Caenorhabditis elegans: one gene and its partners. The protein of the gene in region 2 interacts with the protein of the main gene of each other region in a pairwise test. Each region holds a gene or a part of one and is shown on either strand. Other genes may lie near its edges. The genes, in order: oaz-1, phat-1 and F09F7.5.

Region 1 (3,468 bases), 1.0 Mb from region 2:
CTTGGAATTCGCCCTCCGAACAGCTGTGAAAACCAAAAACACGAACTTGACGCTGTTGAGATGTTTTTCGTCGTCTCGGTCACACAATCTGCGTCTCTGGCCTCAACCGCCGCCGCCTTCCGTCAATCAATGAAAAGCAAAGATAGATTGTATAAAGTTGAGAGATTCAGAGAAATTGCTGCTTCTCTGTTCTCTCCGTCAGCGCTTAAAAGCAGTGAAACGTGCCAATAGTTCTCCTTGATAACGACTCCCTTTTCTGGTTTTCTCTGTATCATTAGTACTTGAAAAGAAAGGAACTACGTACTCAATCTTTGATAATTGGTTGGTATACTGTCGTAATTTGTTGAATGATTTCGTAATAATTTAATTTTTATTTCTGGTTTCTGGTTTCTCTTAAAACTTACTCAAATCATTAATATTCCTATGCTCACATAAACTTAAAAGTTTTTCTTATCTGATCACAATCTAAATTAGGTCTGCAAATCATCTATCGAAAATCAATAATTATTTCGCAATAAAATAGGCGAAGAGCAAGTCTTATGACACTGTTATCTTTCCGGGAACATTCTCGGTCCACAATAGATAAGGCATCCAAATCATTCGATTCACTGTTTACACGTCGATCGATCTTGTTCTCCTTCTTCTCTATCTTCACTGTTTCACCTTCATTTTGCCTCAATAAGCTGTAGTGAAGTCATATGATTTTCTATTCTTTGTTGTCGAAATCGATTTTAATATAGAGTAGTTTCTAGTTTTACATTACTAAATCCACTCATTGATTCTATTGATCTCTCCTTTTTTAGGCGCAAATGTTTTGATTAATAATTACTTTCGATATCACAAGGCGCTGTTTGTCTGGTAATATTATGTTAGCTCCAGTTCTGATTAAAAATTTCCGTTAGAAAAAAGGTATTTTCGGAAAAGTATCCTAATGGCGTGAGTATACCAATTATTTGTATCATGGCAATTGAGCAGAACTGATAATCGAGTCCCACAGGGTTTACGATTTCTATTTGGATCTGATTTTGAAATGTGCAATAAGAAATAATCATCCCTACTTTCACTTTTGTAACGACCCATTTCGTCATTACCATATGACTTTCAAAGATCTGCGATGTGCACGTCACATATATTCATTCAAAATGGCGCCAGCAAGCCATTGAGCCAGAAAGAGCGTTTCTCTGTCGTCTCGCAATCTTTATGTCCCTCTGTTCCTCCGCCTCGCACTTCATTTATCGCCTGGTCACATGCTTCTTTGTGTTCACTCAATGTTCGTTCTGTATGTCTTGTGACAATTTACTTTAGAGGTTAATAACACAGAAATATAAGACAGTTCATTACTATGTCTGTTCTATAGATCTTCTTTGACATCAATACAACATTTTACGCTTTTAAGAATCAAAAGCCTCTAATTTCTATTTAAAAGCCACGAAGTAAATCAAATAATTGAACGAATCAAAAATCTCTTCTGACATGCTTTAATCTTTGGCATAAACTAATCGAATTATTCTAATTTATTTCTAGCATATTTGATTATAGGACACCGTAAATGTTGAGATTGGTTAAAATCAATTTTTAAACATCTGGGATACGAATCAGTTCTCTGGAATAATTTCTGATCACCACAACTATATTAATTTGTATTTCCGTTATGCTTCCTCGCCCTCGCCCACTCGTTCACTTTGCTTTTAAATCGATCTAATTCTTCTTAATTTCAGTTTCCCACCACCCGCTTCGTACCTATCAAGAGAGACAAGATGTCGAGTATTTTGAGTAGTAATTTTACGAATAAATCGAATCAATTGGTCAACGAGTCTGCCGTCGACAGGTGAGAATACAATGTGAAGGCAGTTTAAACAATAATATTTCGATTTTTCAGCTCGTTGACCGCCTCCCCATGCTCGACCCAGCCCGGCGACGTCGGATGGTGTTTTTGACGCCCCCCATGGCGTGCTCACCAAATTGCCGAACGAAACTCGCGCTATCGTATCGGCCGTTTCTCCAAACTGGCGCGTGACATCGATTGGCGAAAAGACATTGGCGATCATGATTCCACACGATCAACCGGTGCTCGGCATCTCTAAGAAGAACTTTGTGGACCTCTTGGAGTTCGCTGAAGACAAACTCGGTGAGTTCTATTTCAACCATTTCTAGATTTTCTACAAAGTTGTGTTTTTAAACGGAGAAATCCTGTTAAAAAGTTATATTCCCTGAGAAATGTTTGTAAACTTTTTTATTACAGAAATGGAGCGTGTTTTGGCTGTATTTGAGAAGGCTCGTATTAACCCAACGGAAGGATTCCCACGTACTCTTCGTTACGTCGGATTCCGTCCATATGCCATCGACGAGCATCCAGTTCATCTCCCAGCTGAAAAATACTTCATCATGAGCTACAAGGTCTAATGGATTCATCTCACCAATTTCTTTTCGTTTTATCGATTTCTCGCCGCTTTTAAAAATGTTATTTTTCTTTCTCTCACCTTTTTCTATACCAACCCCTCGAAAAAATGCACTTTAAAAACTTTCAAAAAATTTCCTCCTTCAAGAATTCTCTAGTATAATTCTCTAAATCTCTGTGTTCATGTAGTGTACAAATTCTTTAATTTTCCAGAAAAAATCCTTTTTGGCTATTTCTCTGATTATTTTTGCCCACCACACCCACTCCCATCCACAACCAGCTCATTCCTGTTTCTAAGAGATATTAGTGACCGATGCTTCCTGAGAAATTCTCTTTTTTTTAAAACATTCTTTAAATTAATCCCTCCTTTCCCACCACTTTTCTGTCCACGCGCCAGCTTTTTTGGAGAAACGAATAAATTGTCAAAAAAAAAACGATTTTGTAGAGAAATGTTCAAAATGCTCCGCCCATCATGAATTGGGTATCGTTAGGTCGATTACGCAAATGCGAAATTTTGAGACTATCTTACAAAAGTACGAAGCAAAAATACACTAGCGGGTCTCGACATGATCAATTTTCTTAAATTTGAAAGTGTGCGCCTTTAAGGAGTACTGTACGTGCAAGCTTAGGTTGCTCCGGAATTTTCATATTTTTTCCATAGTTTTGCTATACTATCAATTTATCAACAAAAAAAAACTATTTTTAGAAAAAGCTTGGAAGCATGAGAAAAACTATAATCAATGAAAATTAGGCAGAAACGAGAGTTTGATAATACAGTACTCTTTAAAGGCGCACACTCTTACATTTAATAACAAACAATTTTTGCGTCTGGGAATACCACTAGACCAGCATGGTAAAATAAAATATCGCAAAACAAAAAAAAGTTAGCGATTTTTTTGTGTTTTAGAAAAATCAGCCTGGTGAAACTCTCTGTTTGAGTTTCGAGACGAGAACTTCAAAAGGCCTCTTGGGTCCAACAATTTTAATTTTGAAGAATAGTTTTCCACTTCAAAAGATAGAATTAAGATTCTTTTCAGAGTTGGTGAACTTTCATTTCAAACAAAAAACTT
Region 2 (4,063 bases):
CAGACTAACTTAAGTGAGTGTAACACAGGATTGAGTCAGTCAGCGATAATTTTTTTCAAAACATCATCAGAGTTTCTTTTTAATTAGAACGCTTTTCGTTTTCATAGTTTTTTTTTTAATTTCCTGTATTTTCCGAACATCAATAATTTTTACAGGCGCTGATAAAGTAATTAATTTGTGGGAGCAAAATAGACGTATAGGTACTCCAATGGGTGCTTCATTTCATTTTTAATAAGTTTTTAAATTTTTAAATTATAAATTTAATTTTTTTTAAAGTTCTAGTATGTAAGTCAGACTTTTGTATAAAAAAACAATCATTATAAGGTGAAACTCAACGAAAAATTATTGACGCCAGATTCATTTAAAGTTGTCCAAAAAAGTTTTAATTATTAATTCAATGAAACAAAATAAAAATTGGATATGTTTTCAGAATGTTTGAAAATGAAAAAATAAATATTTTATTACATTTAAAACATTGAGATGTTTTGTTTTGAAATCGAACTTTCTCAAAATCTAAATTATTTAAATTATTTTATTTACTTTAGAATCATAAATCACAAAAACCAGACGGTGCATAAATTAGAGATAAATTATTTCCACAAACACAAAAATTATCCAGCAGTACAGAATCCGCAGGTAAGTGGACATTGGGTACGCATAAGGGAAATGTAAGCGGAGTTGGTACAAAAAGCACGACGATTTGGACAATCGGAAGTTCCTGTAGCGGCGTTGACTTGGTCGACACAAGTGGCTGAAGAGGTTTAAGTATCTTAGTTGTCGTATCACAAACAGTAGAATCAATCAGCTATAATTCTTCAGAAATAAAACTTACATGAAACAGTAGTAGAAGCTGATGACGTGGCAGAGATAGTTGAGCTTGATGTGCATCTTCCACAAGTTCTTGGGCATTGGGTGGTCATGATGTCATAGTAGACTGAGTTGTTGCAAAGAGAAGCACGAGCTGGGCAATCGGAAACTCCAGTTGTTGGATTGACACGATCAGCACAGGTGGCTGAAATTTCCTCAGTTAGTGCAAACGAAAATATAAGAAAAGCTAAGGCAAACAAAGCAAGCATATTAGACAGAAGCAGGTAAAAAAAGCTACAGCTGATCAGCGAAGCAAGAGGCAACTGCCACCTACTGGAATAGCTAGAAGTACTATTTGTGGAGCATCTTCCACAAGTTACCGGACACTGGACTGTCATAAGATTGTAATAAGCTGCGTTATTACAAAGTGCGGCACGAGCCGGACAATCAGATCTCCCGGTGGATGGGTTAGAACGATCGGCACATGTGGTGCCTGGAAATTTAAATTGTTGTCCTCTGTTTCAAGAAATCTAACTCTAATTAAAGAATCACGTTCCAGTTTTCAGCGAACTTACTGGACGATGAAGTAGTCGAAGAAGAAGTGGAGCATCTTCCGCAAGTTCTTGGGCATTGAGTGGTCATGAGTGTGTAGTAGTTGGAGTCGTTGCACAAAGCAGCACGAGCTGGACAATCGGAAACTCCGGTGGATGGATTAACACGATCAACACAGCTAGTAGAGCTTGTTGAAGTAGAATTACAGCGACCGCATGTTCTTGGGCACTGCTGGGTCATGACTGTGTAGTAGGTCGAGTCGTTGCAAAGGTAGGCAAGAGCTGAACAATCAGAGACTCCGGTAGATGGATTGACACGATCAGCACACGTTGTCGTGGAGGTAGAAGTTACTGTAACTGATGATGCAGTTGTGGTTACTGTAGATCCATCGGAATCGGTCACAACAGCAGCAGTGGTTGAAGTAACAGCGGCAGCAGCTAGAATTTCAAAGGTCGCTGTTGAAAGAATCTGTTTCACTTACTGGTAATAGGACAGCATTGACCAGCTGCCACGTCACAGACCTGTGTCTGGCACACAAGAATGCCACCGTCACACGCTGAAATAAAGTATTTATTCTAAATGCGATTACAGTTGTTACTTACGTCCTTCAGATTCAGAAGCTTCACAAGCAAATGCAACCGAGAATATGGCAAATGAAATAATGAATTGACGGAACATGATAGAATGATGGTTATAGTTCTGCAGCAGTTGCTTTTATATTGTGAGATACTGTCCATCTGTTCAAACAATTAACGTTGACCATTGTGCTATAAGTCTTTGAAATTGAAATAATGTGATCAAGAAGTTTAGATACCGTTCGTGATGGAAGTTTATGACGAAATAGCTAAAAAGTATCGCTTGTGGCAAATGTTTCAACAAAAGAGTGCTGAAATTATTAAATTTAAATTACATATATTTTGACGTAGAATGTGTATCTCGGGTCTGCAGTGATCGATTTTTTGCTGAAAATGCCGTCAAAATAATTATGCAAATAACGGCTATTATGACAGTTTTACAAGCTTGCAAAAACCCCAGAATACAACTTTAGATTGTAGGAGTTGAGCTTAACTTTTTGAGATAATCTAGTAGAAAAATTGGATTTTCAAAAAGAGTCTGTAAGTAACGTTTCTTTGTAAGTTTTTCAAGTAAAAGTTTTTTAAAGTTTTATTTCTTGTCTATCTGTTTTTATCGCAATATTCCATATTTTACAGTGGCTATCCACGAGCTAAAGGCTGTTCAAACATTTCAGCTCTGTTTCAAAAATAACAAAATTTTCGCAGAACAATGCGCGCATTGTTTTTATATTGGTACAACCAACCGGCGTTTCGGATACTATTTGAACACATTTCTTCCCGACTCGCAGCGTTTTATTATAAATTAAAATGAATTGGACACATTATTACACAATTATTACTAATCGTGATGGCGAAACAAATTATCCGGATGTACAGAATCCGCAGGTTCTTGGACATTGAGCACGCATGACGGATTGGTAGGCTGAGTTGTTGCAAAGACCAATGTTGGATGCACAATCAGATCTTCCGGTGGCTGGGTTGACTCTGTCGACACATGCTGGAAGATTTTCAAGATTGGTTTTAGAAAGTAACGAATGCTTGTGTTATTGTTGAAAATCTATGGCCGTACATTTTTTAGATAATACAGTAGATTGTTTTACCTTAGAATCGGATGTTTCAGATTTTTTTGGACAGTTGTTTTCTCTTTTTTTAAATAAACAAGTAGTTAGTTTCGTCTAAAGTTGGGGAAAGGTTGGCTGGTAGTTTTGAGTCATTAAAAACTCGGACTTTTTATTTGTGATATTTGGCCATGTTGCAATTAATATGAAAATATTTGTACAACTAAATTTTGCTTAAATTTAATACTAAATCAAGCTCCAACCGTTAAAATCAGTTTTAACACTTTTATAATTTTTCCCACTTACTTCCGGAAGAAACAGTTGCGCTGGATCTAGTGGTAGAAGATGAACCGGAACTTCCACAGAATCCACAAGTTCTTGGGCATTGAGTTCTCATCAGATCAATGTAGTTGGAATCATTACAGAAAGAACGCAGGCTTGCGCAGTCCGAAGTTCCCGTCTTTGGGTTCTTCAAGTCAGTGCATGTACCAGTTGTAGGTGTGCTAGAGAATGATGAGCATCTTCCGCAAGTCTTTGGACATTGTTGAGTCATGACGTCAAAGTAGTTGGCATCGTTGCAGAGAGCTCTTCTATTAGCACAATCAGAAGTTCCTGTAGCTGAATTGACACGATCAACGCATCCTGTTCCAGATGAAGTGCGGGAAGTGACAGTGGATCCACTACGGATAGTCGTGGCAACAGTCACAGTGGATCCCGAAGCGTCGGTGACAACGTTAGATGGAACCACAGTGGTGACTGAAAAGGGAAATTTAAAATTTACTGATTCCAGAGACTTACTGAGATCCGCATTGAGACAGCAACTTAAAAGAGTAAGATCACAAGTAGATCCAGTTTCACAAGGCAAACCAACATCGCATGCTGAAAAAATGTTTGGATTAAAGAATCGAATTTGAGCGCGAAAAAAGTGTTACTCGACCAATGACATTAAGGCGTGGTCAACGTCATTGATTGGTCAAAAGTTTCAAAAATCTAAAAATCTAAAATTGCGCCCTTCTGCTGGCTTTAATTTGAGAGTAAATTTCCCAGAAAAACTTTTGGAAGTGTTCAAAT
Region 3 (6,696 bases), on a different chromosome or scaffold from region 2:
GCGCAAATTATGTTGCGATGGAAACAGTACTTTATTCCACAACCTCAAATTTAAAAAATTGCAATAGTTAAGCCCGTTTTCGGAAAAAAATAGTTTTCAATTTCTCTGAAACGTCAAATTATAAAATTTCTCGACTACTTAGCAAAAACTATTCTGTACGCTGGACAAAATGCAAAATTCAAATGACAAAGCACTAGGATTTTGAGTTTCCAAAAGGCTGTAACTGAACATATTACTCAAAAATTGCAGTTTTACGGGGAATTTTCGAGATTGTAGATCAGTTAACAACTTAAAAAAGATAGTGTAGGCCACAAAAGATTATCCCATTCCACCCTTTAAACCCTTTTACTTTTCCAGAAAAACGTATACAACGAGGAATTTGTGACCCCTGCAAAACTCCGTTATCTCCGTGATGATCTGGAAGCCGCCGAGGAGCATCTGAAAAAGTTGCTTGAAACCTCCCATTGACGCGTTTGATCGAAACGGATTCTGTACATACCTTCCAAATTGTTATTTTTTGTGCTGTGAAGAAATGAAAATAAAATATATTGCTTTTTTCGCAAATCGAATCGGTTTTATTTGAGAAATTTATTTTTAATGGAATGGTGGTTTGGCACTGGAATGTAGAGAGACAATTGACTAGAGTTTAGTTAAGAATTTAAGTAAAACAAATAATTTAAAATCGAGTAATAATGAAATTATCGTCGTCTTCGGATTCTGAATCTGATGGGATCATTGCGGCTGCTGAAGGTGGTGGAAGCATGATGAAAGCGTCATTAATCTGAAAATAGTGGGAATTTGAATAATTTTTTGAAAATTAACAAGTGCCAGGAAATAGGACAACTACTGAAGGCTCCCCAGTTAATGATATTTGGTACAAAATCTATTTAGAAATATCTGCTAGGGTATGCAACCTGCCTCGTAGGAAATCTTAACCTATTAGCACTATTTTTGCTCATTACTTGGTTTGATCGATCGTTTGCTTAAAAATGTCTGCACGTACCTATGACAGAAAATTGTATTGAGAGCCCACTTATACATTTTGCTCAGTCTCAGAGAGAAACTTGGGTACGTGCGGACCCATGACCCACCATTCCAAAGAAAAATTTTGTCTAAAGAATTTCTCGAATTTCTTGCTTCTCTAAATCTATTTCTACTGGAAATTCGCAAGTAGTCAGCTGCTTCTTTTTGTTTTCGATCACCTTGTGATCCTATGAATGGCAGTTCCAATCAACAAAAGTACTTTCTCGGAAAAATTGGAAACTAGGGGTAATTAGCAAACTATTTCAAATTCCAATAAGCTTATCTTGGCGATTGATCTTTTATCACTACTAGTTACCTTGTCTTTTGTCGCTTCCACCCGATCTTCTTGTTCATCATTTATTTTTGTATCTCCCACCACTTGAAACTCCTCCCCAATCACGTTTTCGCCCTTTATCTCCTCTTCGACATTTTCTTCTTCTTCTTCTTTTAACGGTTCCGTTGAGACCTGCGAAGAAAAACAAATGAAGAAGAACATTGGTGATTGTTGACTTTTTGATGTTTGTATCGGTTTCATTTAAATAGATTTATATTTGTTCTAGAGGGGAGAGAATAAATTATAGAATCAGGTCAAAGGGTAGCGGAACTGATTTGCTTTCGAAAATGTGAGAATAACTGTGAAAATCGTGAGTACGACTAGATCCAAGTAATTGGAGCAAATATCGTTTAGGTTCAGGAGCACCCGTTCTTGAAACTTTTGCCCCCCCCCCCTCTCATTCAGATTCACAAATATCTATTTTATGGTGACTCATCAAATGGTCAGAAATATGATTCAAAAGTTGAAAGTAATACTTTAATTCCGTAATTCCTCTCTTAATGTTGCACCTACATAACTGATCTTGTGGATCACACAAGAAAGCTTACCGTCTTTCTGCTCCTCGGCTTTGGCACGGGCGGTACAAACTCTTCTTCAACTTCCCGATCCCTTTTCAGAACTTCCACATCATCATCCTCCCCAACCGTCGACAGAATACTTGACACAGTATCTGCATTTGATCTTGACGAGGTAGTGGAAACATCCGTGTTCCCAGATGAAGACGTCATTCTTCCGATGGACATTGGCATTGTTGCTGACTTGATCCTCTTATCATATAAGAACCTGGCAATTGCAGGAGGTACTCCACTTTCGTCACTTGAGCGGAGGTCTAGCGCATTTTGCTTTGTCAAGGCTCTTCCATTGATTAATACTGTACCAGGAGCTTCGGGAGCATCAAAGCTTGGAGCTTCATATGAGGGAGGTGGTCGGTTGGGAGGCATACTCACAGGCCGAGCGGAGAACGCAGGAATAAATCCTGGAGCTTGGAATGTTGGAGAGGAGAGGTCTGGAGGGAGGCTTGGAGCTTTTGGAGCCGGTCCTTTTTTCTTCCGAAGTCTAATTGTCTCTGGAGCTACCCCCAACTCATACTTCTCCACCAAATGCTTCATAAAAGCCCGATCTTTTTCTAGTGCAAGCGTCGGATAACCCGATTCGTCAGTACTGATTGTGGATAATTGATCCCTATCGAGATCATCCAGGTCATCCAACCAATCGTCAAGCTCATCCAAGATCTTTCTCCCTTGAACGGATGTGCTCCGAATAGTTGACATATAATTCGAGTCATCCGGCGGACTCGCCGGACTCAATATCGGTGTCTCCTCCTGATTCTTCGGGATTGCCAAAGGCCGATGCAACGGAGAAAGTGTATTGAGAGGTGGTGTACTTTTAACAATTGGAATGCAATCATCGAGACCGAAACTAAAAGCACCACCAAGATCACCCGGTCTTTCGATCACCAGAGAGTTAGGCTTCGGTGCAACGATTCGGTCGGCGGTTTGGATTTTTGGAGGTGGAGCTATGTGTGTTGAGATATTCGAAGTGTGGGAGATTGACCTGAAAATTGAAAAATTTTTAAACTTCAGGGTCCAATCAAGAAATACCGAAAAACTACAGGTTGCTCTGAGATTTCTGATGTTTCCTCCTCGTCGTCTTGGGCGTTGAAGATCAAATTCGGCTTGCTGTTCCTGAAAGTTTAATTCTCAACCAACTTTTGATTCAGTTGTCAAATTTGAAAGCGCCAGTAAGAAACTTAATTCTAAAGGAAGTACTTCTTGGAATTGAGGTAAAAAACTAATTCAAAAACTGTGTTGTTAGAAAATGTCATACAAATACTCACTGTGGAGGAGGAGTAGGGGGAGCTGGAGCCTTATAATTTTTCTTGCTCGGACGTGGTGGAGCAATATTTATGTATTGGTGGGATGTTGGTTGATTCTCGTAACCTCTGACAACTTCAACCTCTTCTTCACTTTTTGAAGCTGATGGGAAAGCATCATCTAGTCCAACTCTCTGAAAAGTTGAACTTTTTTGGAGAAAAGTAATTAAATAGTTCCCTACATCTTTTTCTTTTCTCTGCGATCGGAGTGTACTATTCGACGAGGAGGGTCTTATGTAGTAGCTGCTGAATTCTTTATTCATCCACATTGAATTCAAGTAATGCTTGTAGATCACAAACCTTTCATTAACCGTATCAATCACATTATCGCTCGTCCGAAGATTTTCAATTTCCGATGATCCCATTGGACCGACATGAGCCAAATGCCTGTAATATAAAAATTGACTATGATAGATTGTTTAAAACCTAAAACACAATGAGTAAAACTAATACGAATGTAACTAATTCGTCTCCGAATCTACTAATTGTAAGAAACTAATTCGTATGAAAATTGTAAGTTTTAGACGTATGGAGGCACGGGAGAGTACAGAGAAGCTGAGTGTCTTAACTCTCCTCCTCTCATATCTTTTTAAACAATTAAAATGGCGAATTGCGAAAAAATTGAGAATTTAAAAAATTTCAGGTAACGTGATTTGTATTATTTTATTTTATTTTTTACGACAATAGCCCATAGTGTAAGATTTAACGCTTGGTACCTATAATATATAACAATGTTTTATCAATTGTTGCTAGTCCACGTGTGATTAGGTACTACATAACAATTTTAAACTTAATATTCATAGTTGACATGTATGCTAGTTTTGCATTATTGTTTCTATCACTGATTATTTTCATGACTGAATTGTTGGCGGTTCCAGCTGTGTCAGCTAAATTACCTAGCAAAATGGTAAGTTTTGTTTCCAAGGTTTCTGATTTCTAAAACTTGGAATTTCAGTCTATGGATGTCAATATGATAATAAAAGAATGTTGTAATGAGATAAGTGTAGAGTGTTGTAAGCCTAATATTTTTGAATAAACTGTTCATGTTTCTAAATGTTCCTCATTTCTAAATGTTATATCAATTAAAAAAAGCACAATCAGCACAATCAATCAGCTATTGGCTAAATCTTGATGAAAGTTATTACACTGTAAAAATGGGTTGGTTAGAGAGTGTGGGGGAGGGGAGAGTGCAAGAACTCCGCTTCTTTCTCGGGCCTAAAACGTCGACATGTCATAATCCCGCTTGAAGCTAACCTACTAATGTTCTTCAAGAACGAATTTGCAGATACATTCCAATTCGAATGTACGGATTAACATAACATCCTCAACTTTTATTCCTTACCTGAAATCCGACGGCAGTGAGATCATAGTTTTATCCAAGTGTTTGTGCTGATTCTTCGGAGGCAGCAACGGCAAGTCGTTGGGCATTTTCCATAAACCCGGTTCCTGTCTTAAATCAAGAATAAAGTAACAAGAGGCAAAAAAAATCAATGGTCAAACCACGCAAGTTGTTGCAAAAACTGTGGAGAACAGACACCCGGAGTAACTGAGAGAGAAAGGGGAATAGAGAAATAACCGATAAAAACGTGTAAGCAGTTGGAAAAAGAGTAGTGATAAGGAATTATTGAGAAGGAGGTGATGTGTTGAAAGAATGATTCATTTGGAATTGGAAGCCAAGAAGTTTGAAGCTCCAATGACACCCGTGCTCAAGCTCCGCCCAAAGACGCTTGTAAGGAATCTTGAGTTTTGTAGCATGGCGGAATATTGAAGCGTCGTTCGATGGCTCCAAAATTTTGACCACTTTCAGGTACTGCATAAAATCAATTGAAAAATGTTAAAATTCAGATTAACATAGAAAAATCTAGCATAGAAACTACCTTTCAAATATTTCAAAAAGTGTTATCAATTTCTAGCAAATAGCAAATTGTTCTTGCTGATCTCCCATAGATTACTCAGATCAAATTGACAAGAGACGCAGCATGTTGAAGTGAAAAAAGAAAACATGTGTCGATCTGATGAGTAATCTCTTGAGGCTAAAAACCGGGTTACGGAAGGGTATTATGTATATGTATACTCTAGTGTTTGACTGCAAGTCGGACGATATTTCGCAATTTGTTTAACATTGATTTACGAAACCTTTGATGTTTTTAATGTATTACCGAAGATTTACTAGGATTATTTTTGTTTCGTAAAGAATTTAAAATGTGTTGTCATATTTGAAATAATGTTTTAAGCAACTTTGTTCATCATCAAAATTTAAAAAATTCCAAATATTAGTAGTAGTTTATTTGTTTTAATGTATAATATAAAAATCTTTAAAAAATATTCTTCTATTACATATCATCCAAAATTCCGATAGTCCGTCTCAAAATCTCCTGAGCTTTGTGTTCCCTTTCGTCAGCTCCACTTTTCAAATCCAAACTCTCATCCTTATACATTTTGTAGTAATACGACAGACTGAATAGTGACGTGGCATTCACAAAATTGAAGTGAGTTCGATAGGATTCTTCGAGTTGGGAGAAAGTGAAGGGAGCCGTGGAAAAATGAGATTTGAAGGTCGTATAGTAGTGGTTCAGGTATCTGGAAAATGGAAACTGACTCTTTGTTTTGAAATGTGTTTTATATCTCCGAACCCGATTTTCAAATCTCGGCCAAAAAGCGGGCCATTTCAATTTTTACTTCTTTCGGTTATTGAAAATGTTTAGACTTAGAAAAAGATACCTTTGAGTATTTGCTCTTCGATTTTCCACTGACAATCCAAGGCACAAAATACGAATAATATCAAAGGAGACGGGACCCTTTGACACGTGCTGGAAATCGATAAATGCCTGGATCTGAAATTATTCAATTTTATTATTAGGAGTAATTTTATATTCTATGACACGTAGTCCTCTTGGACAACTCTACCTTTCCAGTTTCATTATTCCATAGAACATTTGACGCGTTCAAATCATTATGACATATCACCAATGGCATTCCAAGTTTTTCGTTTTTCTTTTCGGAATTTCTAACTCCATCTTCATCAAAAGCATGCTTAACTTCTTGAATTCTTCCGGAGAGCTCCGCCGGGCATAACTTTTCAAAATCAAGGGTGTCGTTGTGCTGGAATTTTGATTCTGAAGCGTGAGAAAGAGCCGCTCTGGTTTTCAGGTAAGCAAAACACCATACACCATATTTACGGGTTGTTGTGAAAAGTCAATTTCCAATAAGTTCCAAAAATATTCGGCCACCAATTTTCGCGGCCATCAAAGAGATGTGCCCAATTTTAAATTCGAAATTTGAAAAGATGTGCCCAGATTGCAATCGATTGCAATATACTCTTTTTTTTTTATTTCTTACTATACCTAGGGCTTCACTGGCAGACAGGCACATTTTCAGGCCTATTTGAATATCTCGTGCCTGCCTCCCTACCGCTCAAAACTCACCAACATCCTGATATAGGCCGCATCATAAAGCACATTTTCAT

Evidence for each region.
Region 1: the proteins of phat-1 (region 2) and oaz-1 interact in a two-hybrid assay, tested with the Caenorhabditis elegans proteins (one large-scale study listed by BioGRID).
Region 3: the proteins of phat-1 (region 2) and F09F7.5 interact in a two-hybrid assay, tested with the Caenorhabditis elegans proteins (one large-scale study listed by BioGRID).

Annotation. Positions count from the first base shown.
Region 1 is NC_003279.8:6,091,589-6,095,056, forward strand, and holds oaz-1 (Ornithine decarboxylase antizyme), read left to right. Parts: upstream 1-1,718; 5' UTR 1,719-1,757; coding exon 1,758-1,828; intron 1,829-1,879; coding exon 1,880-1,937; coding exon of another isoform or gene 1,938-2,128; intron 2,129-2,242; coding exon of another isoform or gene 2,243-2,403; 3' UTR 2,404-2,849; downstream 2,850-3,468. UniProt on the Caenorhabditis elegans protein: Ornithine decarboxylase (ODC) antizyme protein that negatively regulates ODC activity and intracellular polyamine biosynthesis and uptake in response to increased intracellular polyamine levels.
Region 2 is NC_003279.8:5,043,684-5,047,746, forward strand, and holds phat-1 (ShKT domain-containing protein), read right to left. Parts: upstream 2,038-4,063; coding exon 1,962-2,037; intron 1,916-1,961; coding exon 1,841-1,915; intron 1,797-1,840; coding exon 1,383-1,796; intron 1,201-1,382; exon of another isoform or gene 1,057-1,200; intron 1,013-1,056; coding exon 833-1,012; intron 752-832; coding exon 612-751; 3' UTR 515-611; downstream 1-514. Other genes in the region: phat-2 (ShKT domain-containing protein), read right to left, coding at 2,795-2,931, 3,299-3,748, 3,791-3,871.
Region 3 is NC_003281.10:5,545,094-5,551,789, reverse strand, and holds F09F7.5 (CRIB domain-containing protein), read right to left. Parts: upstream 4,681-6,696; 5' UTR 4,659-4,680; coding exon 4,573-4,658; intron 3,618-4,572; coding exon 3,531-3,617; intron 3,477-3,530; coding exon 3,413-3,476; intron 3,365-3,412; coding exon 3,195-3,364; intron 3,043-3,194; coding exon 2,959-3,042; intron 2,912-2,958; coding exon 1,906-2,911; intron 1,490-1,905; coding exon 1,340-1,489; intron 782-1,339; coding exon 677-781; 3' UTR 575-676; downstream 1-574. Other genes in the region: F09F7.6 (Ferritin), read left to right, coding at 358-468; putative kinase-like protein D1044.1, read right to left, coding at 5,564-5,810, 5,952-6,064, 6,138-6,332, 6,656-6,696.